4 linked regions of the Diceros bicornis minor genome follow. The protein of the gene in region 4 interacts with the protein of the main gene of each other region in a biochemical or structural test. Links are inferred from orthologs where the notes say so. Each region holds a gene or a part of one and is shown on either strand. Other genes may lie near its edges.

Region 1 (7,407 bases), on a different chromosome or scaffold from region 4:
TCAGTTCAAAATTCTTGATTTTAGGTAGGAAACATAATTTTAAAATAATAATAGTTAATGTAAAACCAGTAACTACATAACCTATGCTTTTTAAATATGCTAAAATATAAAAATTATCTAAATAACACTATAAAACAAGAAAATGCTTATTTACCTAATTATTAAAAATTTAAAAATTCAAACAAAGTGTAATTAGCAGTGCATGGTTACCTTTTTTTTTAACCCAAAGACAAATATACAAATCTACTTTTAAAAAATAGTTTCATAAGGCATCTTCCCTAGGGTAAAACAACCCACTTAGTGACCATCTAAATGACAATGACAATTTAAAAACTTTTATCTCCACTGCACTTCACAAAGAATATTAATTTTCATTTCTTAGATAACTATTTGCAACTCCACATAATTTTAGCATTTACAAACCTAATTTACATTTGTTACACATCAGTTTCACTTTCAGGGTCTACACTACCCAACTAACTAAGGGGTCTTTTCTGCATGTATCCTAATATTGTGTACAGATACACAACTGAAAACCCTTCTCTTTGCTTTCCATTTGACATATTAGTTTCCATTTACATGTTTCTAAAACAATTGGAGATTCCATTCCCTTCAAAATATACACATGATTTTAAAGAATTCACTAAACAGTTTGGAACGATCAAAGTCACCACTAGACTTAATTTCCTATAAGGAATGCTGTACCAGTTTTCAAATCTAAAAGAGAAAACACTCAAGATTTAGAATTGTTCTAAACATTTTCCAAAGTGTTAATGTTTTTATACCGTTAGATTACCGTCATTCTGCAGAAACTTTTTACTTTCTGCAAGGGCTACCTTCTTCTTCACTCATAATATGATAAACATTAAAATAATAAAGTGGTATTACCCTAAATCAGCCCTTCTTCCGGTGCACCCAGGAGTTGCACTAATACAAATGAGCTCATTTCAATCTCAGGGGAAGTGGGGGGGGGGGGTGAGGGGCGTTGACAACATTGCTAGGTCTACTCTTTCTAGAGTAGGAATTTAAAACATGATAATCTCAAATCAACGTTCAGAAAAAAACAAGAAATGCTTTCCAAATAGTGAAAATGGGAAGCAACCAAGTTAAAACCCTAATGTGGCTTAATATGTGTCGCTTTAAAGAATACAAAAAAGTGGCAAAAAAGTTTAAAGTTGCCTAAAACTCCACCTTCCTTCTCCCAATTTCAGTTAATACAGAAATAATAATGGCATTTTACACCAGACGTTACACTACAACGCAAGTGGCCTAACAGACCCTAACTCTGTCTCACAAAGGAGCTAATGTAATAATGTTTACATCCTGTACTTGTTTCCCTCACTGTTTGTCACAGCTAGGTAAGAGCTGGCAATAAAACATGGAGGCAAGTTGAAGGCCTGAATCATTTTCATAGCAAAAGGACAGCAAAGAAGGAGAGACTACATGCAGCCAAGGGTTTCGCGGGGTTCCCACACCCCGCTCTCTCTGCCTCGGTTAACACTACATTTTTACTATATATCACCAAACGCAACAACATCATTACTAAATGAGCGCACCCCAACAACAACAAACACACCCGGACTGTCCATAAATTGGCTGCTTTCCTCCGCGTGCGCCGCACCGTTCCACTACCGACAGCTCAACGAGACGATCACATAATGAAATGAGTAAGCAATCCACGCCATTCTACAACTTGGCGAGACACTCACAGGTCCTCCACAGCACCCTCGGGAGCCGCAGGAGCCGGGCGACTCACTGACACCGCCGCGGGCTTCTTCATCTCCAGGCAAAGTCGCCGGATAACCATTTTGCAGGAGGACGGCTCTAGCCATCGAGCGACCTCGGCACTCCGCCCTAATGTGTGCTCGGACGCAAACGAAACCTCCTCCTGCCGCAGCCACGGCGCGGGTGGCCGCTTCCACGCCGGCTCGGGCCGCTCCCGCCTGCACTCGCCCCGGGCCAACGTGCTCTCACGGCCGGCCTGCGCCTCCCAAACTTCCCGCCCTCCCACCCCCGGCGGCGCGGTGCCCCGGAGGTGGGCTTCTGGGTGCGGGGCAGTGCGGCCCGGGGTGGGGGGAGAAGTCCAACGACTTCCTAATGTCCCCTTCAGGGATGAAGGGGAGGCCGGGCAGCAGGAAAAGTTACCGGAGCCACTCGCCGACAAAGAGGACCGGTGCTCGCTCCGCCGGGTCCCCCCGCCCCCGGCCGGAGCCCCCCCGGCCGCCGCGTTTGACAGCTCGGCGAGGGTCCCGCGCCCGGGACTCCCTGGCTGTGCTGCGGGCTGGCTTTTTAAAGACCCAGCCAGGCGCAAGGCTCGACGAGAAATCGCTCCGAACACAGAGGCCCCGGCGCCGGGGCCCAACTTAAAAGTAAAGTGTGGCGGCGGCGCGGCCGTCGAGCGGCGGGCGGAGTGCGGGCGGGCGGCGCGGGGCCGGGGCCGGGGCCGGGGCGGGCGGGCGCCGGGCCGGAGACGCGCGGCGGCGGCCCCACCCCCACCGCGGGGGCGGCCGGGGGCGCGCGGGGCCGGGGGCGGCGGCGGCGGGCGCGCCGGTGACAGCTCCGGGCCGGCGCCGCGGCTGGCTCCCGGCCTGGCTCGCTCACACTCAACTTACTTCTTTCTGGCTCTCTGGAAAGGGGAAGCGCCATCTTTGCGAGGCCGGCCCCGAGGTCTTTTGTCTGCGGCTGCGGGGCTCGGGGCCGGGGCTCCGGGCTCCTCGGGGGGTGGTGGCGGCGGCTGCGGCTGCTCCGCGCTCTTGTCCTCCTCCGACGACATCCTAGTCACCAGGAAAGACACATGGATCCCGGTCCTCCTCCGGGGGGGCTCCTCCCGCCGCCGCCGCCGCGGCCGCCGCCGCCGCTGCTGCTCGGGTTCCTCCTCCCCGGCTCAGCCTCTCGCATTTCCCGCAGCCCCGGGAGCAGCAGCAGGTACCGGGAGAGGCGGCAACATGGAGCGAGCAGGACACGCACTCACACACATAGGCGCGGGCGCGCGCACCTCGGCGCGCAGGGGCCGGGCGGGGGGCGGCGGGCGGGGCGCGCGGAGGGAGGGGCCGGCCGGCCGGGGCGGGGAGGTGCGGGCGGCGGCGGGCGGGGCGCGGGCGGGGGCCGGGCGCGGTGCGGGCCACGCCGGGCGGTGCGGGCGGGGAGGGGCGGGCCCTGAGGGGCGGCGGGTGCCGGCCCGCGTCCCCGCGCGCCCCTCCCCCGCCCGCCCGGCCGCCCGCGGCGGGGAAGGGAAAAGGGCCGCGGCGCGGGGAGCGCAGGGCCCGCGGGGCCGGCGCGGGGCGGACGGGCGGGCGGGGGTCGCGTCTCCGCCGGCTGCCCTCCCCAGCGCGGGCCGCGTCAGGCGGGGCGGCGGCGGCGGCGAAGTTTTGACAGCTGCTCCAGTTGTTGTTGTGGGTTCCGGGCTGCGCGAGCGCCGGCCCCTCCGCCCGCGCCCGCCCTCTGGGCAGGGGAGGAGGAAGTTTTGCGAGTGTGCGTGTACCACACACAGACGCGCGCACACACGACCGTGGCCAGCGCGCGGGGGCCGCGCCGGGTCTCCCCCGGGCGCCCGGCACCACAGACCTCCCAAACTGGCCGGCGTCTAGCCCACACACGGCCGCTCGACGCCCCCTCCCCCTCCCCCACCCGCGCGCCGCCGCTGCCACTCACGGGGCTCGCTCCGCGCATGCGCCGCCCGCGGACGCTCGCCGCCGCTGACCTCACCGCCCCTCCCCCGCCCCCGCCCCCGCCCCCTCCTCCTCTGACGCGGCGGCCGGGCAGCGGCGACTCCGGCTCCGGCTCCGGCTCCGGCTCAGGAGAGCGCCAAGCTGCGGAGGAGGCGTCCGGGATCGGGGTCCAGGCAGTAGGCGGAGGGCGAGGGAGGAAGAGGAGGGCCGCGTCCTCGCTCCGGACGCGCTCGGTCTCCCGGGACGCGCGGGGGGGTGAAGCGCAGGCTGCCCTCGGGCGCGCCGCCGGCGGGTGCCCCACGCCCACCCCGAGTGTGGAGCCGGCGCCCGGAGGACCTCAGCACGCCGCGTGCAGGGCTCTTTGGGTTTCGTGCGTGTCTGTGGAGAAAAAGAAATGGAGTGCAACTTCGTTGTAATCCAATTCCAGCGATAGTTTCGTTATTACAACGTCATTTAAAAAATGATCCAGAAAGGGCTTACCAAGCTGTCAGACAAAAAGAACCAAGACATTTTGAGGAATAAAACGCTGAAAGACATAATAAACCAGTAAAAACCCCAACACTTGATTTTAACGTTCAGTGTGTTGTGATGAAGAGTCAAAAATTGAAGTACTTATAAGCCACCTCTCATACTACGTAAAAATGGTAAGAGAAAAATGGGGTTAGAATAAGAAATCTGAAATATGCACTTTCTCAAGAAGAACAGTGACAGATGTGGAATTCTAGATTCCTTATTCTAATAGACAATGTGCTCTCCTTTCCATTCACTATTGATTAGTGTATGGGAATGAAAAAATTATAGATTTGAATTGGGGAAAAATATTAAGACTTCTCAACTGCTTGCAAAAGGATTAGGATAAACTATCATCTAATAAGCATACACTCTAGGCCGGACACACTAGGCACCTTCTGATTATGATTTTTTTCCATCTTCACAACACAGTTTTAGTATAAAGTGAAAAAAATATGCTGGTTATCCAGCTATGTTGTTCGCCTTCCTTTCCTTCCAATAACCAGAATACACACTTTGCATTGTGTTTCCTATTTGGGCAAAATATACACAGTTTGATTTCCAGAGCCTATTCTGACTAAAAGCATAGTTTTTTGAAATGAGGACTATAATAAGACAGTCATTTGAATTCCTTCAGGGTTTAACCCCTGCTGGATTTTTCAAATTTACTAAATTTACAGCCACGGGAATTTTCACACTGGGGAGAAACTGGCTTGGTAAATACAAACAATAAATTAAAAGTGCCTAACTATTATACACAGAAATACAATATACACATGACTAATGATAAACTTATGCAGTGGTATATTTAAAGTTTATTATTACCCTTTCTTTTTCAATTTTTTTCTGCGCATTACACTTTAAATAAAGTACACTTTCAAAAATTGCATTATTGATCCAAATGTTTATCTGTGTTCAATACTGAAATTAGATCAGTCATTTCCAACTGTGAGCTTCCCATGCACAAAATTATGTATCAGGATAATTTCCTTCAGTCTACTTCTTCAGCACTTGGGAGAATTTAAGTGTCAGTATGTGCAATTTGCAAGTCACTCCTGCTGGAGAGAGGTTTTAAAAGGAAATGACTGGGGACTGAGAACAGAAAAGTGGGTAGAATGAATGGTAGGGTAGAAATAGAGCTTTGTGGAGTGATGCTTCCGGAAAGATAAAAGATGATAAAGGTGACTACCCCCGGCCTTAAATCTCCATTTCTTTGGCTACTGAGAGCAGACAAGTAATGGGATCTGTTTTAAAAGGATCGATAGGCTCATCGGCATGAAGTTATCATAGGCAGAGCAGATCAAATATAACCCAGGATGCAGAGGAAATAGTCAAGGAATACTTATTCATCATAAATAAATGTTTTCACATCTCCGTTATCCAAATCTCACAGCTCTGAGTCCACAATGGCAAAAATCCAGGAAGCAGGTAGCTGAATTTCCTCAAAATTATAAAATCAGAAAGGCATGAGCATCTGGAAGGACCAAATGCAAAAAAAAAGGAAAAAGTTAGAATGTCTACTTTATAAGAAGTACACATGTGGGGCCTGCCCGGTGGCGTAGCCGTTAAGTGCGCTCACTCCACTATGGTGGCCCAGGGTTCTGATCTGGCGCGCACCATTGCACTGCTCATCAAGCCATGCTGTGGCAGTGTCCCATATAAAGTGGAGAAGATGGGCACAGATGTTAGCCCAGTGCCGGTCTTCCTCAGCAAAAAAAGAGGCTTGGTGACAGATGTTAGCTCAGGCTGATCTTCTTCACCAAAAAAAAATAATAAGAACACATGTTAAATAGGCATTTTTAAAATATGGTAGATGTGCACCAAAGTGATAACAGCAATCACCTCTGAAGGGCTGGAATACAAGGGACTTTCACTTTCTATATTACATTTTCCTGTAATATTTGAATCAGAGCACACGTAATATAATCAGAAATATATATTAAATATTTAAAATGTGGGTAGGAGGTGAGGGTTCTTATCTGCAACAAAGAAAAAGCAGCATCTCATGAAACTAAGCAAAGGAGAGTCTCAAAGAGTCTAGCAAACAAGTGACAGTGAATAAAAACTCAAAGTACAGTACCCATTCTTACTAATTGCAGGCCTAGAATGTCATTGATAGAGTCTTTATTTAGAAGGCCTCTCTATTGCTTTGTTTTAGTGAATGTAAAAATATTTAAAAGGCTCTCCCATAGGTTCACTACTAAATGTTGTCCCTCTCTTTTTGTTTTCCCATAAAGTCTTAAATTCCTTAGAGTTTTTTGGGAACCAAACTTCTATAGTTGCAGAAGGAACACTGAAAATGTAAATTCTAGATCTTATAATTTTTGTGTTCATATTTTTACTATTAAAGTTACACTTTAAAAAGTTGCCATCATAGGCTATCATTTTTCATCCTTTATTTTTCAGTAGAAAAAATGTTTTAAAAGAATTTCTAGGGCCGGCCCCGTGGCTTAGAGATTAGGTGCGTGCGCTCCGGTGCTGGCGGCCCGGGTTCGGATCCCAGGCGCGCACCAACGCACCGCTTCTGCGGCCATGCTGAGGCCGTGTCCCACATACAGCAACTAGAAGGATGTGCAGCTATGACATACAACTATCTACTGGGCTTTGGGGGAAAAAATAAATAAATAAAATTATTTAAAAGAATTTCTATCACTTAAAATTAGTTCATATTTAGTCCATAGTGCGTTTTTAGCTATAAAAATTCATATATTGCTTTATTTATTTCAGTAGTGTATACCATGTACCTGTGTGACAGAAAGATTAAAGGAAGAAACTAAGAAGGAAATAAACAGAACAATCACCTTCAAAAATAATTTCTGTATAAGAGCCTGAGGCATCAGTAGATGTTCTGCTGCACATTTTATGTAGATATGATCTTGCCCTGTAGGGGTCTATACTTTGAGCCTGGCACTACTTAACAAGATAAATACAAAAAGGGCAAGCAGGCAACTGAAAAATACACATGGAAAAACGTACAAATAGAAAGATTAAATATTTACATCCATTGTGTACAAGACCATAGTTTTAAAAGAAGTGCATCTGGGGGTTTAGGTGGAAGGGTAGGGGTGAGAGGAGTCCGCCAGCTATGTCTATTTAGAAGAGGCATAGAAAACATTCTGCCAGAAGTGTTATAAACTCCTAAAAATTCTCTTCCTCCCTCCCTCTATCTCTCTCTCATTCACACACACACACACTTTCTTAGGTTCCTCTCCTTTATTCACATACAAGA
Region 2 (6,825 bases), on a different chromosome or scaffold from region 4:
AAACCCCTGGAAGCCACCCACCTAAGCCCTCCCAGGGGACCCCCAGGAGCTTTGGACCCAACAGTGTCTGCCCAGTCACAGGGCTGGCTGGTCCTCAGAGCACCTGGCACCTTCTTCTCTATCAGTGGGAACTTCCCTAGAGAAGCCACAGGCAAACTTTGGGGGATGCCCTAGAGTTCTTCAAGCCCCTCCAGCCAGCGTCCAGGAGGAGCCTCCCAGGACCCTGAGGGTGGGAGGTATGGCCTCCCCAGCCCAGCTCTCCCCGATTCTCCCGGCAGCCACTCAGAGTGAGTACAGAGTGAGATTCCGGTGCATGGGAGGTGGTGCTGTCTCTTTAAGAGAGAGGAGGGAAGACACAGTGTCAACCCTTGAGCACCCAGAGCAGCCCTCCCCACTCTATGGAACATGATCAATGAAACCACACTCTGGGCCCAGATTGGTTCCCACTTCCAAGGGGAAAGGGACCCTGGATCCTTAGAGGACTCTCTTTTTAGTCCAGGGACCTACTCTTTATGTATTTAACGGCATCCTGGTGGCTCTCCCTCAGCCCCCCACAAATAAACAAACACTGCCTCCTCCCCTAACACAGTTAGCAACACTGGGGACTGTCTCAACCCAGGCCACCAGGGCTGGGAGAGGGGCCCACGGGGGTGTCAGCAGTGGGGAAGCCTCCGGGTGGTCCCTGGGGGTGCAGTGGCCAAGGACTGGCACATTTGGTAAATTATAGCTTGTCTCCTAGCAACAGACAACACATTTAGCTCCACGTGACTCTACCCTCAGGAGGGGGAAAAATACAATTGGTAGGGGGCCCCCAAGGAAGAGTCAGGGGGTCCCCAACACTGCAGGAGGGGCTTTGGGAGGGAAAAGGGTCACATGGACAGGTCCCGGGGCTCCTCGGCAGTGGGCAGTCCGCAGCCGGCCTCCAACTCACCTTTGGTGTCCAGCTCCACGTGGATGATATTGCCCATGACGGAAGTGCTGTGCAGGTGCTGAACCGCCTCCTTGGCTCCCCTGACCGTGGCAAAGACCACCTTGGCAATGCCCAAGTGCTTCTTGGTCTTGGGGTTGTACAAAATCTCCACCTCCTCCACCTCCCCATACTTCTTGCACATGTCCCTCAGGAAGTTTTCGCGGATGTTATCATTCAGCTTGGCAAATGTCACCTGCTTCGGAGGCACCGGGCCCACATAGAACTCATCGATCTGGCAGGGGACGAGGGGGAAGGGAGTTTGCAGAACATTGAAACCGAAGGGAAAACACGACATTCCCCACTCGCCTGCCCGTTGAAAACAATGAAGGGGAAAAAATAAAAAAATTTTTGGGGGAAAAAAAAAATGCAGGCGGGCGGGCCCGGGAAGCGGAGGATTAAATCGTTTGGAACGTGGAAGTCCTCTGGGTTCGAAAGGAAAGGGGAAAAAGAAACAGTTTCTCTTTCCCCACCCCCCATTCTGGCCTCCTCTCCCTGCTGCCGGGTCAGGGGCGATCCCTGGGGCTAGGAAGCTGTCCCCCTAAAGCCACAAGGCTGGGAAGGGGGGCGGGTCCCGGGGCTGAGTCCCCGGGCTGGCAGGAGGCAGGTGGGGACCCGGAGCCCCCAGCTGGGCGGACAGCACACTGTATCAGCGCCCTGCTTAGTTTCACCGAGTGTTTACAGCAGCCCAGAGGGGACACCCTCTCGCAGCCGTCCCCCCCGGCCCCGCCAAAACTTCCCGGCCCGGACGGCGGGAACTCAGAATCCGGCTGGGCTCGGCCAGGACTGGCGTTATTTTCGAACTCGCGGCGCGGGGAGGGGGGGGCGAGCGCGGGTCAGGGGGAGGGGTCCTGCCTTGAATTTGGGCACCGACAGCTCCAGCTCCTTGTTTTTGGTCCAGATCCCGACGACCCGGGGATCTTCGACGATGTCCACCGGGCGGTTGCTGGACATCTGCGGGGAGGAACGGGGGGCGGAATGGGAGGGCTGGTCCCGCTCCCGGGGCCGGGGCAGACCCCCCTTCTCCAGGCACTTGTCAAACTCCGGCTGACAGTTGGCCCGGCGGTCGGGAGGGGGCCCCGGGCTGCTCGGACCCCGCTCCCGGGCCGGGCCGGGTGGGTGGGTGGGGGCGGCGGGGCGGCGCGCCGGCTACTCACCGCCAGGCTGAAATGCTGCCCATCGTAGCGGTACAGTTTATGATGCCCCTTCTTCAGAGCCGGGTCAATCATCAACTTGTAACTTCTCCAATGGTGGTTCCTCCTCTCGCCCGAAGGGCCGGGCTGCGGCGGGGGCTGCTGGTGGTGGTGGTGGGGGGGGTGACTGTTCTCCATGCCGTTAACCCAACCTGAAATCGAGCAAGTTGTTGTCGTCTCCGCCGCGGCGGCGGCGGCCGCTCTACACACACGCGAGAGAATCAAATCGTCCAGCCCCCACCCCCTCCCACCTTACCAGCGCGCCCCAAAAGGAGCTGTCTCGCTGGCTCCCCCCAAAATAAGAATGGAGCGAGAGAATAACCCTTCCGGGAGAATTAGGCGCCCGCCCGCTCGGCCACCGTCTCGGGGCGGCAGCGAGGGGCTCCCGGGGGCCCCCGGTGCGGGCTGGCGGCGCCCGGGGCGCCCGGAGGACGCGGGCTCCGGCCCATGGTGCCCGCCCGGCCGCCCGGCCGCCCGGCGTGGCGCTCGCTCGCTCGCTCGGCCCGGCTCGGGCGCGGGGCTCGCGGCAGGCCTGGCGCCGCCCGCCCGCCCGCCCGCGCGCTCGGCCGGGGCCGGGGCTGGGGGCTCGGGCTGCCCGGCTGCCGGCCGCGGCCTCTCCCCCCTGGGCCGCGCTTACATCCCCGCCGGGCGCCGGCCTCCCTGCGCCGCCAGCCAGTACATGGTGTCCCCCGCGGGAGCCGAGGCCGGGGCGGCCGGACGGGGGGCCGGGACGGGGGGGCGCCGCCGCCGCGGCTGCCGGGCCCGGAGCTGCTGCCGCCGCCGCTGCTGCTGCTGCTGCTGCTGCCCGGGAGGCGGCTGGCGGCGGAGGCTCGGCTCCCAGTAGCCGCACATCCCACAATACACCGCTAAGGAGCCCGACCCGAGCGCTCACCCTCCTCCTCTTCCTCCTCCTCCTCCTCCTCTTCCTCCTCCCCTCTCCTTCCTCGCCGCTTCCCCAGGCACTCTCCCGGCGGCGGCAGCTGCGCCGCCAAAGCCCCGGGCCCCAGCGGCCCCCCACCCCTCACTCGCGCGCTCCCACACTGCCTCCCCCCTCCCCGGGGGAAGGCCTTTTAATTTATTTATTCTGCTGGGACTTAGGTGGGGGGCTTGGCTGGCGGGGGAGGGGGTCTCCCCAGGCTCTACCTCCCGCGGCTGGGGCTACCCTCCGAGCCGCGGCCGCCGCGGCGTGCACCTCGGGCCTCCAAAACTGTTTCCAAACTGCCGAGACCGGAGGTGGGCGCGCGGGGGCTCCGGGGGAAGGGCCGGGTTTTGGGGTGTGTATATGTGTGGGATTGTGTCTTTGGACGCTGGGAGCCGTGGGGAGAGGCAAGACGACTCAAGACGAGTTGCAATCGAGGTATCTCAGCGCCGGCTTCCTCTTCTGCCCCGCGACCCCCTCCCCCCTGGAGCTGAGCTGGGGAGGGGAAACCAGGATTTTAACCAAATTAGCATTCACATTCCTGGGAGGATGCAGCCCTCGCCTGGACCTGGGTGATAGAAGCTTCTTTCTGTTTTTATTTTTGGAGAGGAGCGCCCTGTAATTGTCTTGAACACATGCTTCTGTCTCCCCCCCCTCCTTCTTCCTCCAGCCACCAGCGGAGGAGAGAGTCCCCCTTTTTTGCATTTATCTTTTCCTTCCCCTTTCTTTATTAAAGGTCCGGGAGTGGCGGCGGCCAATCAGCGCGCGGCTTCCATTTTGTGAGTTCAACTCCGAGGCTCCCGGGCTTCGCGAGGACGCATTTGCAGCCCCCTCTGCCTCTCCTCTCGGGCGGCCGAGGCGAAGGAGCCGCCTCGCCGGGGCTTCGTGGTGGTGTATTTCATATTGGGGCTCTTTTCGGGGTTTGTAATTTGGCCGTGGGTAGGTAATTGGCTGGAGCAGGGCGGCAGGGCGCGGCAGCCAATCAGCGCGCGGCTTCTATAGGGCTTGAGTTATTAGACGCTGGTCTCAAAACATCCTTCATCAGACACCAAGGAGAGGCCAACAGATGAGGGGAGCCATTTTTCTGCAATGGAATTAAATGGCCAAGTGGGTTTTTCCTTTGTTGCAAATGGGGAATGTTTTTCCTTTGACTCCACCATCCAGTTCAGGACGCCTCAGTGTTCTGTTTAACATTTGTCAACAGGCTAAAGGACTCACAATTGGAAGAATGAAGAAGACTTTTTAAAAAGATCTGGATTTTTCCTTATGACTTGGAATCCATCTTTGTCTTGTATAACTAGGTCATAGCACACCATTAATGTCAGCAGTTAACAATTTTGAATTCCAAAAAACCTAAGTAAATGACATATTTAATTTTTTTTCCTCTTTTTTTCTTGGGTGGGTGGGGGGAGCTTGGAGCTGTCTTAATCTGTATTCTCTTGACTGAACAATAAATTTTTAAATATATATAGTTTCCTCTATTAAACACTTAAACCTGGCCATCTTATTAACTCCTTCTGCTCTCTTTTTAACAAGGTAATGTTTTAAATGTATAGTTTTAGGACTAGCGAAATGGCAGCAACAAAAAAATTGTAAGCAATTGTTACTTTTAAGTTTCTAAAAACCTTTTACATTGTAAGTACCCAATCCATTCTGTCCTTACGCAGTGCAGTTTTCATGTTAATGTTGCTGAGATGTCCTTAATTTTCTGAACCTTCATCTGCATGTATGTCTTTGTCGCTCTTGTCTAATATAAGCCAGTTAAAATGCTTTTAGACGATTTTGCTTTTATAAAGCTAAGGTTTTTTAGCTTTAAGCTTTTGAAAATGTTTACAGCCATAAATGCTAGTCAGCTTTCTTCCCAGTAACATGTACACTTTCTTTGAAAATCGATCTATTTGAAGAAAAACAGCTCTGTTTTTGTCGTCTTGGTAGGGGAGTGGGTGAGGGAAAGGAAGACCTTCTCTTTGTGTAAAGAGACTAAAGCCGTCACAGGAAACTAGATTAAAACTGGAAAACAAGTCCTAGCTGGTTCGAGCCAAACACCAACGTTAACGCGGGTATTTTCTATGGTGGTTGGGATGGCCGGTGCGTCTTATGCCTTTTGTTTGATTTGACTGTGTATTTTCGCCTTTTGTCTCTTAATGACGGTCACACCATTGCTATATCCAGAGCAGTAAACAGTCCTGCGAAGCCGCCTTTTGCCAACCCAACCCTGGAAAGTTTGCAGAAGTGGAAGGAGCAGAAAATGCCATGAGAGTGTAACTTACAAAAAGGTAACAGCAACAAAAAAAGACACCACCATTCCCTCAAATATTCCCAACTAAACAATCCCCCCAAAAGATATTCAAAACCTCCGCCCCGCTTGATCTTCCAGACTCCATGGCACCGGGCTGAGCGGGTGAGTAAAAAAAAAAAAATGCCTTTTGCCCCTTCGAGGAAATCTTTTTTCGAGCAGGCCAAGGGCTGCAAATGTTTGGGAGCTGAGGAGAGAAGGAGGTTTCTGGAGCTTTATGTTTGGCAGCCGGATCGGGGAGGGGTAGGGGGACAAGGTGGGCTCTTCAAACCCTTTTGCCCCTTCTGCCCCGGAGGCGAGAGGAGGGCCTCCCCAGCGACCTCGGGCGTCCACGGGGTCGCCTGCGCTCGTCCCCCTCGCTTTTCTAGGTCTGAGCCTTGGTGTGGAGAAGAAATTAAAGTGCTTTGCAAAGGAGGGGCTCAAAAGACAGGGAAACCCACTCCCCCCCAGCCCAGGGCCTCGTTCCCTTTTGATTGGGGGGGGTCTCGCCCTCCGAAGCCGGCTTTCCGGGGCTCCGGGGCGCGCCTGCACTTCCTAAGCAAAAAGGACAAAGGCCGGCGTCCATGTTGGCACCATGACGCAGCATCTCTCGCGCCTGCAGCCCGCGCGCTGCCTGTGCTCCCGGCCGCGCTCGCTCCTCCCTGCCCAACTCGAGTTTTATTTTCAGGTTCAGAGCGGAGCCGCGGCCGGGGCCGGGCCGGGGCTGGCGGGCGGGCCGGCCAGGCTGCGGTGGCTAATGGCGGCCGCTCTCTTCCTGCCTCCCTCTTTCCCCGGTGGGCGTTGAGAGCCCGGCGCAGGTGGCGGCCCCTCGGCCGGGCCGGGCCCCGAGAGCCCGCAGCGCATAGCGCCCCGGGCCGGGGGGTGGTCGCGGAGGCCGTGTCGGGGGCCGCGGGCCCGGGGGCGTCGCGCGCCGCAGCTCCCGCGCTCACCTCCGCCCGGCGAGGCGGCCAGACGGGCGCCATTTCGCGCGCCGCCCGCGGCTCGGGCGGTGGCGGCCGCCGCGCGCCAGGCGGGAGGAGGGAGGAGGCGGCGGGCCGGGGGGAGGGGAGGCCGCCGCCTGCGAGGACGCCCCTGGCCCCGAGGCCTCGACGGCGGGCGCGGGCTCCGCCGCTGCCTCGGACCCCGCGCCCGACTCGGGGCCCCACGCGGGCACGAGGCCTCGCGCCCAAGCCGGGCGGCGGGGGCCCTTCCTCCTCCCGCGCGCGAGCCAGTAGCAGAGGGCCACGGGGCCGGGGAGGGCCTCGAGGCCGCCCCCTGACCCCGACCCGCTCCTCCGGAGGCCGCGGAAGCCTCCCCCGCGCCCCGGCCCTGCCCCCGGGCCGTCCTCGCTGCCCACCCGGGCCTGGGCGCCCATGTCTGGCTCCCAGGCGTCCTTGGATAGCCGAGCCCGAGGGGCGGAGAGCCCCTTTGTCCCCACTTTGGGTGTGAGGCCCTCAAGGAGGCCGCCGAC
Region 3 (7,451 bases), on a different chromosome or scaffold from region 4:
GCCGCACGTCTGCCCTGCTCTCGGGCTTCGCCATGGTGAGGGGAGGGAAGGGGCGCACAGGGTGGGGGTGAGGCACATGGGGGGCACGGAGCCGTTGGCGAAGTGAACGGATACTCAAGGGAGAGAGGACAGAGGCAAGGAAAAGATGGGGTTCTAAGGTAAAAGAAGAGAACAAACAAGGTCCAAGGGACTATACAAGTCCCTTTTTGGGGAGTGGGGGGTGTGTATTTGTATGTAAGCAGATCTCTAGTAGAATGGGCCATAGGGATAAGCAAGTCACAGAAGTTTCATGGGGGACACAAGTCATGTCATGGGGGTAGACAAATCACCAAAGGGGATAACATATGCAAAGATGGGACAAAGAGGTCCAAAAGGAGCTTAGCCCAGGCAGAAGTGATTACTAGGTCCCCATGAGAGATTCAAAGGGAAATCAGAGCTGGGTGGGGGCTGTATAAACAGGACTAGGGCTGGGGGTGGTCAGAGAGGGTAAGCTGGGCGGAAAGGTCACCCAACTGAAGGTGGGCCCATCTCAAGGAGGGCAGCTAGTACCCAGCAGGCACAAAGAAGGCTTAGCATAGCCCAGGGAGGCTTTGAAAAGAAAGGAAGCGGCTAGGGAAAGAAACTGATTAGGAAGCTGATACATGATTCTTAAGCTGATAAACTGCAGGTGTGGGCGGATGATATCAGCTAATAGTCCCAGCAGAGGCCTCCTAGGAAGTGGGATTGAGGGAGGTCCTAGGGTGAGGAGTAGTCAGCAGGCACGAGTCCTGGCTCCTCCCTGCTTGTGGCCAGCTATGTGACTCTGGACAGGCCTCCACCCCCTTGCAGGCCAGTGGGAAATTGTGAGATCACAGAGGGTGCGCCCTCTGTAGCCTGCCAAGTGCCCACCCCAGGATGAGCTGTGATTCTTGTCATCAAACCCTAGATCCAAGCATGTCAGAGCAAGACACACATCAGAGATGGCTCAGACTACCTGATAATTGGACAGGCATGGAAACCAAGGCACAGAATGGGGCAGTGGCTCTGCCAAGAGCACTCAGCAGATGAAGGATATAGAATGGAATAGGACCCAGGGTCACTGGACTGTTAGTCCAGTGTTTCCCCACCATCATGACAGGAAGAAGGAGAAAGTGGGCTGGAGGGGGGTCCTCATAGGAACAAGCTCCTGCAGGGGTTGGGGGTGGTCCAGATGAGGATAGAGGGATCATAGCACTAGGTGATTTGGTTAGTCCCTCGTCCCTCTCTGTGCCACAGTCTCTGTACTTGAACGATGAGAGAGAAAGTCTCTATCCCTTAGGGTCATCTTAAGTCTATGGTTTTCTGTGTGGGAGCCCAGGATCCACAGGCCAGCCCACTCTTCCTGATGTGGGGTCATCGAGGGACAGGGAGTTGACTCCCCTTCCCCTGTACAGACTGCAGAGAGAAGGGAACAGCCCCGTGGACCTAGCTGAGGGAGTCCCCCACCCCCATTTACCCCATGGTCCAGCCTGTTCCCAAGGGCACAATCCGGCCTGCTACTGGACTTGCAGGTTGCTGGGGCAACAGCTTAAGGACCAGGACCTTCTCTGCAGGATCAAGAGGCCAGATGAGTAAGTTCTGGGGGCAGGACTGGCCCCAGTCCTGCCAAGGGAGTGCAAGGCTGGGTCAAGCTCTGGGAGAAACCAGGACTAGGCCTGGCCCAGATCCCTGTCTATGGAAACCACCTGCTGACACCCGCCATGGCCCAGTTTCCCAAAATACTCAGCCTTGTCTTCCTACTACCACCCTCCAGGCTCTGCACCTTCCTTCTCCCAGGCCCAGAGCAATCGAATGGATCCTGCAAGAACCAGGCGTGGGGAAAGATCCAGGTGGCTTAGGTTAGAATAACACTATATAAGTTGTATTGAACTGTCACTAAGTACCAGGCATTGTACTTAGGGCTTTTATGTACATCATCTTTCTATTATCTTATGAAGTAGGAACCTCTACTATGGCCATTTTACAGATGAGAAAACTGAGGATCAGAGATGTTAAGACACCTGCCCAGGGTCCCACAGCAAGGAGGTGGCAGGATTTGAACTTGGCTCTAGAGTCCAAATTTATACAAGCCTAGAACAGGATCATCAACTTAAATGTTTGCAAAGGCCAGGCAGGTAATATGGACAGCAAGTTGGCTGGGTGGGGCCTGTGGCTATCAAGAGACCCCATGGCCTGTTCAAAGGGAGCAGCCATGACAACTCTAGCTGATAGTTGCCATGCAGGAATGTGGGCCTGGTGTAACCAGATCTTGCAAATTTTCAAGAGGATCTGGAAATAGGCATATTTATATGAAATCTCTTGAGTTTTAAAAGTTGGCAACTTAATTCTTTAAAAAACACACTGCATGAGCCAAGCAAAACATGTCTGTAAGCTGGCTTGGGTTCACGGTGTGCCAGTGTGCAAACTCTGGCCTTGGACTTTCAGAGTCCACTCTAAATAATAACAGCAAACGGTGCTTGCTATGTGCCTTGTGCTATTCTTATCACTTGATGTATATTATCTCATTTAATTTTCACAACAACCCTATAAGGCAGGTAGATGCTATTATCAGTCCCCATTTTTCAGATGAGGAAATTGAGGCACAGAGACAACTAAGTCACTTGCTCAGGATTACATAGCTTGTGGAGCTGAGAATGAACCCAGGCAGCCCAGCCCCAGAATCTGTGCTTTTTAACCCCTGTGTTATAACAAGGTAAGATTGTCAGAAATGTCATCCAGCCCTCTTGATAGCCTAGTGTGGAAACCAAGGCCCAGAACAGGACAGAGCCTTGGCAGTGCTGCCCATTCACTCGCTCAACAAAGGCTAGGTGCCTTCTTTCTGCCAGGCAGTGTTCTAGGTCCTAGGGATACATCAGTGATGTATACCAACAGGCAAAAACTCCTGTACTGTTGAGGAGGTTATGGGCACTCAATCTATTTCCTCTTGTCCCCACAGGTGGCCATGGTGGAGGTGCAACTGGAGAGCAACCACGACTACCCACCAGGCCTGCTGGTGGCCTTTAGTGCCTGCACCACCGTGCTAGTAGCGGTGCACCTCTTTGCACTCATGGTCTCCACGTGTCTGCTGCCCCACATTGAAGCCGTTAGCAACATCCACAACCTCAACTCTGTCCACCAGTCTCCACACCAGCGACTCCACCGTTACGTGGAGCTGGCCTGGGGCTTCTCCACTGCCTTGGGCACTTTCCTCTTCCTCGCTGAAGTTGTCCTGGTTGGCTGGGTCAAGTTTGTGCCCATTGGGGCCCCCTTGGGCACGCCAGCCCCTGTGGTACCTGCCTCCCAGGTGCCTGGGACTCTGCCATCAGTGACCAGTTCCCTTAGTCCAGCTTCCAAGCCGTCCTCTGCTTCTCTAGCCCCGTCACAGGCTGAGCCATCTGAGGCCTGCCCACCCCGGCAAGTGTGTGGTGGGGGCGGGGCCCATGGACCAGGCTGGCAAGCAGCCATGGCCTCCACGGCAATCATGGTACCTGTAGGGCTTGTGTTCGTGGCCTTCGCCCTGCATTTCTACCGCTCTTTGGTGGCACACAAGACAGACCGCCACAAGCAAGAGCTAGAGGAGCTAAGTCGCCTGCAGGGGGAGCTGCAGGCTGTGTGACGCTGGTGTGAGCCCCAGCTGCAAGCACTGCCTCCCTCAGGGGTCTGCAGACCCCATCCCTGCCCCTGCCTGGAGACACTTCCTGTGGCCACTCTCAGGTAGAGACCAGATTTCTGCTCTCAGGGTCCTTTGGGCTGGGCCTTGGGGCAGCTCCCACATTCCCAGGGATTCTCCATCAGTCGGTCCTATAGGTTTTCTAAGTTCTACTCTACAGCTGGGCTGGGAGGAGGTGGAGGGCCTCAGTCCGAGGCCACTGCGGTAGGCGGAGGGGAGGGCAAGGAGACCCTGGTCAGACCTTTGGTGCTGACCCTTATCCACTCGCCGCTATACAGGATGTGGAGGTCAGAAGGTTACACGCCCACCCAGCTGCCCCAGAAGGCAGCCAACTCTTGCTTTATTTTTGTAGAATCTGTTTTATGGTTGGCATTTCTGGGGAAGTTTTCCCCATCCTCAGATTTTGATGGGTTTTACACTCTTGCTTTAGTTGCTGTAGAGAGAGATTTGGGTGTTTTTACCCCAGGCATAGGTCCAGGAAGAGCCTCCCTATTTTGGGAGGTTCAAGTGCCTGCCCCACTGCCCTAGACCCACACTTACGCTTCTATATCTGGTTCTCACTCTCCTGGACCAGGGCTGGGGGTCTACGTGTCCAGCCTGACTCCCTAGCAGGGGTTGGGGTGAGGAGGTTTTAAGGGAGAAGGTCCAGTCCCTAGTCCTTGAAATACAGAGCTCTTCTGACACTGAATTTTTGATGCACCTTGTTTTGTATAATAAATTGTGTTTCACAGATGTCCCTGTGGCTGTGAATGGGGTGAACGGGAGGCCTCCTTGGGGTCAGGTGACTTGTTCCTTAAGAGTCAGATGGAGGCAAGTGTACCTGGGGGTGGGAGAGAGAGGGTACCAGGTATGACTCCCTTCTGGTGCTGACAGGGACCAGTAGCTTCTGAATGTGGAGACCGCATTACTCTAAGGCTAAAGGCTTTTGCCTCTTGTCCTTGAGCCCAGGATCTTTTATCTCTTCCATTGAGGATTTAATATGTTTCTTTTAGTTTAAGTTTCTTTCTTGAGTGACTACTACTTACTAGGAGCTTTTCATAGGTTATCTTTTTTAACGTACCTAATTTATTTTATTTAACAACCACCTCAAGAGACAAGTCTTTATCATTACCATTTCAGAGATAAGGAAGCTGAGACCCAAGAAGGCTGAGGATTCTGCCCAAAGCCACACAACTAGTCAATGAAAACCTGGACTACCTTTACTGTCACATGAAGTCTGTTTGAGAAAAGGAGCAAATACCTTTCAGCTGGGACAAGAGAAAGGCATCTGATCTCATCACCCATGCTTCCATGCAAATTTATTTTTTCAGCCTCATTTTCTTCAAAATTTTAAAGGGTCCCAATCCTCTCTCTTCTATTCTTATGGTGTGAGATCTTGGGCAAGTCCTCCTTTTTTTCTTTTCCTATTACTTAAAATGGTGAATTTGCATGAACCAGGCTTCAAGGGCCTTTCCTGCACTGTTCTGATGCCTACAATAGACCTGCAGGACAGGAATTAACATTCATTTTCAGAGAAAGAATCTGAAGCTTTGGGAGGTTAATGACTTGCCCAAGGTCACACAGCGAGGGACTGACGCAGAGATGTCTGGAACCCAGGGCATCTTCAGCTCAGGCAGAGGTGCCTCCTGGGAATGCCATTACCTAGAGACCAGGATACCCTGCTTCCAAAACGGAGAAAAAGGGTGCCCAGCATCAGGGCGACTTCAGCCCCAGGGTCCCAGGTGTAAGCCTGGGCTGGTGCTGCCCTCGAGCGGTGGGACCGCGTAAACATAGGGGGCACACGGCTGAAAACGGCGGGCACTGGGACCACGATGCCTGGAGAATCGACCAGCCCACCCTAGTTCCTGTAGGACCTAGTTTATTATTTTTTACAGGACCCGTTCAAGGGTCTTTAGGCCCCATCAAGTTTACCACAGAGCTTTGAGATAGCCTCGGATTTAATCACTAATAGTAGGCCCAGTACGTGCAAAATGCGGTATCTTCTGCGAGGCTCAGTCTCCCCATCTGTCAAATGGGCACCTTAGACAGCTAGAGGCCCAAGGGGGATAACGGGAGGAAAACGCTCCCTGCATTATGTGCAGCGCCGGGCAAACGGCCTGAGTCACCGCTGCTGGTTGTATTTTTCCACCTCCCGGGCGCCCCTCCCAGCCCGCCCCGGTTTCAGTGGGTCCTACAGGAAGCGCCCGCACGACACCGGGCTCCGCACGCTGACCACGCCCTCTGCGCGCTGTGCCTTGGCCCCGCCCACAGAAGAATTCACAAATTCGCTAGGCCGGCTCCTCCTCAGAATTGCTCGGGGCCTTCTATACTCCGCCGAAAAATTCTCATCGGACTCCGAGAGGACCTTTGGGCCGTAGCCATTTCCCCCGGGTCGGAATTGGGCAGTCCTCTGAGTTGTGCTAGTAAGAAAGATCCAGAGAAATTGGCCAACTCTGCCAACAGGGCTTGGCTAACCAGCCGTTATTTTCTTGACTCCATCAACGCGGGTGAAGGGAGGCGACAGCTGAGGCCAGGACTTGTGGCGAATCTGCAGCCTCTTAGACCTTTGGCCGCCCGAGGAAGGGGCCGGAAAGACGAGCAAAGGAGCGCGCATCCTGTCCACCGATTCGCCCCGCCCGCTTGACGAATCTGCGCCTGTTCAACGCGCCAGTCAAATCTCCCCAGCTCTGGCTGGCCTCTTCCCCTCCGCCCCGCCCCCTTTTCCTCAGGGATTAGTCGCTGCTTTCGTCGCCGCCGATTCGTCAAGGACCCCAGTCCAGAGCAGCTGGATAGTCGTGGTGAAGCCCACTCTCCGGGGGATGCGGCCAATCTTCAGGCTCCCTGGGCCGCAACTCGCAAGCCTTATAGGGCACCGGTCGAGGCGAAGCCGCTATCCTCGGCCCCGTGGGTCTCCCGGCGGCACCCGTGGCGAAAGTGCGAATGTAGACGCTGTGCCCGTTGGGCCTCGCGCAGGTGGCGGTGGTGTTTGGTGCGCGCGCCGGGGAGGTGGTGGGGGGGGGGGCGCCGCCGCCGCCACCGCTGCGGGGCCGGGTCTCGCGCTGCCGCCGCCGCCGCCGCCGCCGCCGCCTCGCGCCGCTAAGGTGCCGCGCGGGGTGGGGGGAGGGGGAACCGCTCGCCACGAGCGGGTGAGTGGGGCCGCGCCGCGCGTGCGCGGAGATGGGGGGGGCAGAACGCGCCGGGGCGGGAGGAGAGGGCAGCGGCGCGCGTTCCCTTCACCACCCCCCCGCCCCGATTCGGGGCCGCAGCCGGGTCTCGGGCTCGGTCTCGCGGTGTTTCCAACGCCCCGAAGAGGTGCCACCTCTTGGCCAGAAGATCGGGGCGCGGGGACGAGAGCGGGTGTGTGGGAGCGGGACCCGGGCTTGGCCCGGGCCGCTGGCCGGTGAGGAGGCGGGAGGGGGCGGGGCCTGCCAGGGGGCGGGGGAAGGGTCTTGCGCGGAGGCCAAGTGGGGCGCGCGCTAGGGAGAGCGGGAAGGTAAGGGGGCGCGAGATGGGCTTGGGGGCCTGAGGGGAGAGTTGGGAGGTGGAGAGAGAATGAGGTGTTGTGGGAAACAGGGTACTTGGGGGAAAATCTGGGGGAGCCACGGGTCATGGTGAGGTGTGGAAACTGGGGTGATCAGAGAATCTGGAGTCTGGGCTAGTCGGTAAGGGGCAGCAAGGGAGTCAGGCCTAAGTCTTGAACACCCCTGTGTATTCCTCTTTTCTAACAGTGTAAATGAGCAAAGATGGATCAGGAAGGTGGGGGAGATGGGCAGAAGGCCCCGAGCTTTCAGTGGCGGAACTATAA
Region 4 (7,928 bases):
ACAGGTGGAATATTAGCAACCAAATTTATATTCCTTAAAAATGACCCCGTGGGGCCGGCCCAGTGGCACAAGCAGTTAAGTGCACGCGCTCCGCTGCGGCGGCCCGGGGTTCGCCGGTTCGGATCCCGGGCGCGCACCAACGTGCCGATTGGCAAACCATGCTGTGGCGGCGTCCCATATAAAGTGGAGGAAGATGGGCACGGATGTTAGCCCAGGGCCAGTCTTCCTCAGCAAAAAAAGAGGAGGATTGGCAGATGTTAGCACAGGGCTGATCTTCCTCGCAAAAAAAAAAAAAAAAAAGAGACCCCGTGAACCACTGTTGCACTGCCCCCCTCACCAGAAACCCTAAAGCCTTTGAAGAAATCCTCTGGCTTCTTGGACCTCTGATTTCCATCTGGCCTGTCCCAGGAGCTGTTTCTTTCTCACTTGTTGGGACCCCTCTCTCACCAGGGGCGCTCCGCCCAGGCAGAGGTGGGGAGGAGATCTGCAGACCGGAACAGGTGGGGCCTGGCTTTGGAAGTGGGAGCCGCGTTCCAGGGATTCCTGCTAGGCGACCCGCCCAGCCGGGCCCCCCTCCCCCTCCGTGGGCCTGGTGCCTGGAGCACCCAGCCCCACCTGGGGGGGCCGTCCCAGCAGACGCCCAGGCCTGCAGCTGGTGGAGGCTGAGGGCAGACGGATTTAGTGGTGGGGACTTGGAAGCAAGTTAGGGCAGGTTTACATCCAAGAGGAAGAGAAGCAACATTCCAGGATCCATTCATTCAGACGTCTTGACTCAGCACCCAGCGCGCGCCCCTCCCCGCAGGCACCATGTCCCTGGTGGGCTGTCCCGACTCCCGTGGGCCCACAGGAGGGAGGGAGGTGGACAAGCGAATGGACCCCGGTGAGGGCCAGGGTGCCGGCAGGGACGGGAAGGGAGAGAGGCACGGGGGTGGCCTAGGCCTGAGCCTGGGGTCCTTGAGGAAAGGACAGTTCAGGTGACTGGTCAGCTTCTCTGGGGCTGAGGGGCTGCTGGGGACGGGGGCTTTCAGTTCTAAAATGGGACAGTGCCAGGCAAACTGGACGGTCGGTCACCCTGGGGAGGGTGGAGCAGCCAGCGGGGTCACCTTAGGGGGGGTGGCACAGGAGGGGAGGTGGTGCAGGGAAGCTTACTAGCTGGTGGGAGGGAGAGGGGAGCAAAGGGAGGGCGCACGTGGGAGGGGCAAAGGTGTGGATGGAAAGAGAGAACCCCACCCACCTCAGAGAAACCCCACAGCCCACATCAAGAGCTGAGGCCTTCCTGCCCTACCTGCTCTTTCTGTACCTGGGAAACTGAGGCCGGGAGAGGAAAAGGAAGATGCTGGCGCAGTCAGGACTAGAAAGCCCTTCTGGATACCAGGGTTGAGAGTGGCCCACCTGACTCAGGTTAGGTGAAGACCCACTGGGACCTAGGTGGGCCAAACGCCTGTCCTGATGGACCACAGCGAGGGGCCGGGGAAGGGAGAGCAGAGCCCAAGGAGGGGGAAATGGAGACATAAATCTCTCCAACAGCTGCCCTGGCACAGTTACCAGGGGAAAAGGAATTTACCACAAAACCCCACTGACCTGGGCAAGAGACTTGGGGTCGCCGGGCAGAGTCAGCAACTCCTTGGAATGGTGGTCCAGCAGAGGTGGGCTGTCCAGTCTGGAGATCTGGTGAGCAGCACCTGGAAGCCCTGGATCCTGGGCACCCCCGTGTCCCTCGTCTCCCATGACGTGCCCTCATCAACTGCCGTTGGAACCCAAAGCTCTGGGCTTGGCCATTAAAGGGCCAGTGCTCCCTACCCAGCTCCCGCCTGCTGCGGGGAGCATCTCCGCCTTCCTGCCATGCAGTCTGTTTCTCTGCCACAGCCCAACAAGCCCTCTCGAGTCTGGTAGTCCACTGTTCCTGATGAAATATTTCTCATTAGGTGACAAAATACGGTTTTGCAAGAGCTTCAAGTCCTATAAGACGGTGATGTTCTTAATTTCAGCTCTGTCACTGCCATAGACTCTCACTGACTGTTCCCGTTGACACAGGCTGCTCTCTCCTGTCAAGACCCTCAGCACTTGCTTTTCACTCATTCACTCACCCATCATCTACCATGCATCCATCCACCCACCATGCATCCATCCATCCACCATTCACCCATCCTCCTACCATCCATCTATCCACTTACCAGCCATCATCTAACCATCCATCCATACACCCTTCATCCATCCATCTATTCTCCACCACCCATCCATCCATCCCTCATCCATCCATGCATCCATCCTCCCACCGTCCACCCATTCATCCATTCTCCATCCATCCAATAATACCACTGAGCCTGTATTGTATAGTCTGGTGGTTTGGAGTGTAGGCTCTGCCTTGAGCCAGTCCTGACTTCCATGGTTGTGCCTACTGCCTGTGGGTCCTTAGGCGGCTTCTCAATCTCTCTGAGCCTCAGTTTTCTCATTGTGAAAAGGAATAAAGGCACCCACTTCACAGGCTTGTTGTGAAGGTGCAGGGAGATAACATATGTAACAAACTTACTAGAGAATAGAGCACACAAGTGCCTCTCTTTCTCTTCTTCATCCCGTGCCACCTGCGAAGAGTGCTGTGACAAGGAGCCCAACACAGCTCAGCCAGGAGACGCTGAACCAGGAGTTACAACAAAAGATGTGTTTCCACTGGGGAGGAGCAGGGGGCAGTAGTCGAGAAGACTCAGCCGGTTGGGAATGAGGGGAGGAAGCTCAAGTGGACGTTGGCAGGGGAGGAGGAGGAGGGGTGCCCTGAGGGGAAGGAGATCCTGGTGGAGGGACCTGGGCTGTGCGGAGGGGGCCCAGACCAGCTCGTATTGTCTGGTTGATGGGGCAGACTTGAGAAATGTTGTATTTATAAAAATGGTTCACGGAAACACATTCCTCTACCAATTAGCTCCCACTGGCCAAAGCACAGTTAACGTTCTGAAAAAACAAATCTCCAAAATGTTTTCCTCTTATTTGTAGATTTTATTTTCTCTTCCATTTCCACTTGTGATTTTTCTGAGCCTGACTACACTTTGGGAGGCATATAAAAGGATTTAAAACCTAGACAATAAAGCAAATCACCTGCTTTTGTTAAGTTGCTTTACCTGCTGTGTTATTCAGTTTCAGGATTTTAGCTGTGACTGCAAGGGTGGGTTGCAAAAACACTCAAGTTAGGGGATCTTCTCATTTTCACTGGAAGGCTCTGTCTCCTGTGAAGATGGAGGCAAAACCAATTTACCTGGGCACCTGGTTTGAGTTCTGCGTTCTGGGCTCAGGACCCTTATCCTGCTCCACCTGGAGGGTTGGAGGACTGGAAGTACTTTCGATTTGGGGCTGTGACCCGGGTGCACAGTTTGGGGGTGGCGCTAGGCTAGAGGGGGAGGCTGGTCTGGTAAACTCCGTCAGCAGAGTGTGGACCAGGGTGGGGATGGAGAGAAGTGGATGGCTATGAGAGCCATCTGAGAGGTGATGAGGGGTATCCATGATGGGCTCTGTTTCCGGCCCAGGCACCCAGGCGGATGGAGATGCCCTTCTTCATCCTGAGCTGCCTTTGCGACTACCTTCGATAATCACCGCCTCATGCTCCAGGGCACCTGGCCCAAGGTGACTAGGCCTCCTGGGTACAGAGATCCACACGGAGCCATGCCAGGGCCAGATGGGGACTTTGCTGCCCCTGCTTCCTCCGTGGGGGGCTCCAGATAAGCCACCAGTCTTTGGCTCCTGCATCTGACAACCACACACCTCATGCACATTCTCTGGGCATTTCCATTTCAAATGCTCTGTCCTTCTGTTTGCACAGGTTCCTGTGTCGTATTTGGTGTTCCCATTTTTAATTGGGAAATAGGTTGCACGTAATTCTACCCACAGGCCTGGGTTGAGGCCATGGAGCTGCCGAGACCATCACCACTTCCCCAAGTGGGCAGCAGAAGTGGGGCAGCAGGGTGAGAATGCGCGGGACTTAGGGCCAGAACGGTGGCTCCAGGTTCTCCTCATGGCCCTGAGCCCTCCTCTCTGGCGTCCCCTTCCACATTTGTAACTGGAGGTGAGCCTACCTGTCTGTGACATCACCTTGCAGACAGCAGAGCAGCCTGCATGCAGTGACTGTTAGTATTGACTCTCCTTCTTGGGGGGCGCAGGAGAGAAGCAGGTGCGCCCCGCGGGCTCTCTGCGTGGAGGCGGGAAGAGCACCAACCAGGCAGCCGGCCCTGCGGGAGAGCTCGTGGGCGCAGTGCAGGGATTCTGAACCTTTCGGAGCTCAGGTTCCTGGCTTCAAAGTAGAAGGTAAGGACCCCTGTGCAGAGGTGTCCGAGCATTAATTGAGATACTAGGCGCCGAGCACGGCCAGGGCCGGCTAGACGCTCTGCACGCGTTAGCTGCCGCCCATCAGCGAGCGCCACAAGGAAGGAGGGACGCGATCCAGGACATGCCCATCCCAGAAGAAAGGTTAGGGCCCCGCTGCCCCTCCAATCCCGCATAGGAGCGGTGCTCCTCCCCGGAGGCGCCTCGCGGGGCGAGCTCGGGACGTGAACATGCGAGGGGCACGCTAGCCTTTCCTGTAGGTATCATCCTACTTCCGTTTTTAGAAAGTGCAGGACAAGAAGGGGACGCACCGGCCACCTTTGGCGTTCACGCTTTTAAGCAGGAAGCGCGCGCAGCACGCGGTCCCTTTAAGGCGTTGGGCCTGCCCGAGGCATTCTGCCCTTCGCCGCTCCCCGTAGCGCCCCTTCGAGAGGCTGGCTTTGTGCGCTCGCCCCGCCCCGACGCCGCCCCCCCCGGCGCACGCGCACTGCTGGCCCCGCGCCGCCCCGCCCCTGGCGCACGCGCACGCGCACTGCCCGCCCCGACGCCGCCCCGCCCCTGGCGCACGCGCACGCGCACTGCCGGCCCCGCGCCGCCTCGTCGAGCTAAGCCCGGCTCCCGCCCAGGCGGCGGCCGACGCAACGCCCGAGCGCCCGCCCCGCCCGGCGCGCCCGGAGGTAAGGGGGCCGCCCGCCCGGTGGGCACACTCGGGGGCGCGGGGCGGGCCGGCGCCGCCGCACCCCACGCCGCCCCGCCGCCGCACGTGTTGGCGGGCCCGGCCTCGGCCGCGGGCCGGCCCAGCCCCGGGCCCCGTGCGGGCGGACGGCCGCCCCGCCGCCGCCTCGCCTCGGGCGCCGCGCCCCCTCCTCCCGTCGGCCCCGGCCCCGCCCCTGCGGAGCCCGCCCGCACGCGCGGCCGCCCCCCGGCTGCCTCTCCCCGCGGTCGGTGACAAGCGCGAGGCCGGCACGGCGGCTCTGCCCTGCAGCCGGCGTGCCTCTCCGCTGTGCCTCCGCCGCTCCTCCGGGGAAGGACCCCAGGCCCCGGCCCCCCGTGCCTGCAGCCCTGACTGCCCCTCCTCTGCAGAGACGCCGCCACCCGACCTGCTGCCCACCCTCTGCCCGAGGCAGCCAGGCCCCCTCGCTCCTGAGGTCCCAGGACGGGGTCCCCGCGTGCCGGTCCGCTGTCACGAAGGGAGAGACCATCTCCTGTCTGGTCTGCTAGAGCCATTTTGAGGGAGGTGAAAGACTCCCTCTCTCCCTCCCTCCTAGCCTTCTCACCCGGTTTCTGCCCCCCAGGTCCGTTCACCGAAGCCCTGGCAGGTGCTGTGGTCGACACTGCCTCTGAGGTTGGCCCGCCCCGCACAAGGCAGATAGGTAAGCTGGAACGGAAGCGTGTCTGCGTGTCCCAGAACCGAGGCAGGGAGAGCCAGGTTCCCCCACTCTCTGTGGGTCTAAGGGGCTGCCGCCTTTGAGGCACCAGTTACGTCCTGTCTTCCCACACCTGTGGGCCCAGTCTCTGGGGGAGCCCAGGAATCTGCATTTTACAAGCAGTCTAGGAGAGCTCTCCAAGGTTTGGGAGGCTCGGCCTTAGGTGGTCAGGCTCACCTGGGAAAAAGCTGTGGGTGCAAAGAGGTGGCAGGTAGCACGTGCTCTGGGGGCCGACTCCCTATGGCCTTTCCTGCAGCCTGATTGCGTTCATCATCTCCAGTTCTCTTTCCTAAGGAGCTGGTCCCTAACCAGCTTCCCAGTTGTCTCAAAACGATTGTTCTGGGGCCCGCCTGGTGGCGTAGCGGTTAAGTTGGTGGGTTCCGCTTTGGGGGCCCAGGGTTTGCCGGCTTGGATCCTGGGCCCGGTCCTCCTCACTGCTCATCAAGCCATGCTGAGGTGGTGTCCCATGTAGAAGAGCTACAACTCTCCAACTATGATACACAACTATGTAGTGGAGCTTTGGGGAGTAAAAAGAAAAAAAGAGGAAGATTGGCAACAGATGTTAGCACCGGGCCAATCTTCCTCAAAGAAAAAGCAAGAAAAAAAGTATTAACAAAAAAGATTGTTCTACGGAATCATGAGTGTTTATGAAAAATGCCAAGCTCCCCCCTTCTTAAGTAGAAACTTGGAGCATTGAGTTAATTGATTGTATTCTTAAAAGTCTGGCTGATTTTTTGCAAGTTAATGTTTGCTAGCCTGGGATTGGGCTTGAGCTGGGAGGGCTGGGCACCTTTCCTGTAGGACCACGGCTGTAGCCTCTGGTCCTCACCTTGGGGCAGCCAGTTGTTTGCGGGAGTCACACTCCACCTCCTGGTGGGTCTCAATTTTTATGCTAAAAGGAGCTGCACTGGGTCCCCTGAGCTACCCTTTTCACCCCAGAGGAAGCCTCTTCTGTTCCCACTGGTGTTTTGCTTGGCGCCTGTGGTCCACTCTTCTCCACCCTCCTTGCTGTGGCCGGGCTTCTTCACACTGTAGGTTCTGTGAAACAGACTTTCCAGCTTTCTGCCTTAGCTCCTCTCTCCCTCCGCTTGTGCAGCCTACGAAGGGGAAGGCAGCCCTTGGGTTAACTGGCACAGCCCAGTTGCATTAAAGATAATCACCAGTAGCTGGTGGTTACTGAGCCCCAGCTTTGTGCCGACACTTCGTCCCTGGCAGGTTTCCCTGACCTGCCCCTCCGCTCCCCCACTTCAGGACTCGGGCTCTGGGTGCAGCGTGATCCGTCCCTGGGCCTGGAATCCTTGCTGCAGGTAACCAGCCGTGGCCGCACGTGTGCTCTGCACAGCCGTGTTGCATTGTGATGTCTCTTCCTTCCGCTTGGATGAAGGCTTTGAGACATGCTCTTTTTGGATGGCTCCCGTTTCGCCTTGGTGTGACGAGGAGCCTGTGCAAGCTTTCAGTGTTAAGCTCTGAGCGAGGATTCACAGTGTGTAAACTTGGTAGATTGATGGTAGTGTTGGCTTTCGGGAGTTGGATGGCCAGTGATATTTGCAAGAACAGTTTGGTGGCTCTCTTGAATAATGCTTTCCCTCGCTTCAGAATCACCCGGTGTGCTTCTATGAGATCTGTCCGAGGAATGCAACCTCTGTTCCTGTGACAGAGGAAACTGGTCACTTACTGTGCAGCTTTTGGGTCATTCCCACTGTCACGCTGAAACCCAAGTGAGCCACAGTCCCCTCTGCAGTGAGTCTTGCTTGAAGGGTATCCGTGGATACTTGAGGCTGCTTCTACAGAAGGTGAGCCTGTGGGGACTCCAGCAGGCAGGGCTGGCTCTGGTTTGGGCTCTGGTTTGTGCTTTTCGGCTGTGTCTTGTAAATGCCTCACCAGGGACAGAGAGAGAGCCCTTCGAGCTGTTTGCAGGGCTCTGGAAACAGCCTTGTGCCTGCAGCCTGTACATGGTGACAGTGAAGCCCCCAGAAGGTGTGGACTGCTGGGGCAAGCTCTTGTGTTTTCAGAGGTGGCTGTTAGCACTGTCGCATCTGAGGAGGCATTTGAGGATTTGGATGAGTTCCCAAGCTTCTGCCCTCTGAAGCTCAGTCTTCTGTAATTTGGCATGTTAGTTTCCTGAGTAGAAACCTTTGGTGGGTTTGTTTTTTTAATGGATCAAGGGCTCTTTGAAGAAAATGGCATATTGTTTGC

The links.
Region 1: the proteins of WDR5 (region 4) and KMT2C form a complex in vitro, tested with the Homo sapiens proteins (4 studies listed by BioGRID, with this or other methods). The link is inferred for Diceros bicornis minor from reciprocal best matches to the Homo sapiens genes WDR5 and KMT2C.
Region 2: the proteins of WDR5 (region 4) and SETD1B interact in a test that uses a peptide from one of them, tested with the Homo sapiens proteins (3 studies listed by BioGRID, with this or other methods). The link is inferred for Diceros bicornis minor from reciprocal best matches to the Homo sapiens genes WDR5 and SETD1B.
Region 3: the proteins of WDR5 (region 4) and SETD1A form a complex in vitro, tested with the Homo sapiens proteins (4 studies listed by BioGRID, with this or other methods). The link is inferred for Diceros bicornis minor from reciprocal best matches to the Homo sapiens genes WDR5 and SETD1A.

The regions. Positions count from the first base shown.
Region 1 is NC_080742.1:97,911,128-97,918,534, forward strand, and holds the start of KMT2C (histone-lysine N-methyltransferase 2C), read right to left. Parts: upstream 3,013-7,407; 5' UTR 2,774-3,012; coding exon 2,613-2,773; intron 1-2,612. UniProt on the Homo sapiens protein: Histone methyltransferase that catalyzes methyl group transfer from S-adenosyl-L-methionine to the epsilon-amino group of 'Lys-4' of histone H3 (H3K4).
Region 2 is NC_080774.1:8,199,646-8,206,470, forward strand, and holds the start of SETD1B (histone-lysine N-methyltransferase SETD1B), read right to left. Parts: upstream 3,007-6,825; 5' UTR 2,798-3,006; intron 2,566-2,797; exon of another isoform or gene 2,417-2,565; intron 2,313-2,416; 5' UTR 2,299-2,312; coding exon 2,125-2,298; intron 1,922-2,124; coding exon 1,823-1,921; intron 1,203-1,822; coding exon 932-1,202; intron 1-931. UniProt on the Homo sapiens protein: Histone methyltransferase that catalyzes methyl group transfer from S-adenosyl-L-methionine to the epsilon-amino group of 'Lys-4' of histone H3 (H3K4) via a non-processive mechanism.
Region 3 is NC_080765.1:21,051,466-21,058,916, reverse strand, and holds the start of SETD1A (histone-lysine N-methyltransferase SETD1A), read left to right. Parts: upstream 1-4,443; 5' UTR 4,444-6,580; exon of another isoform or gene 6,581-6,619; intron 6,620-6,768; exon of another isoform or gene 6,769-6,792; intron 6,793-6,885; exon of another isoform or gene 6,886-7,046; intron 7,047-7,374; 5' UTR 7,375-7,389; coding exon 7,390-7,451. Other genes in the region: ORAI3 (protein orai-3), read left to right, coding at 1-35, 2,954-3,613. UniProt on the Homo sapiens protein: Histone methyltransferase that catalyzes methyl group transfer from S-adenosyl-L-methionine to the epsilon-amino group of 'Lys-4' of histone H3 (H3K4) via a non-processive mechanism.
Region 4 is NC_080767.1:41,021,252-41,029,179, forward strand, and holds the start of WDR5 (WD repeat-containing protein 5), read left to right. Parts: upstream 1-4,921; 5' UTR 4,922-4,982; intron 4,983-5,600; 5' UTR 5,601-5,678; intron 5,679-6,983; 5' UTR 6,984-7,039; intron 7,040-7,928.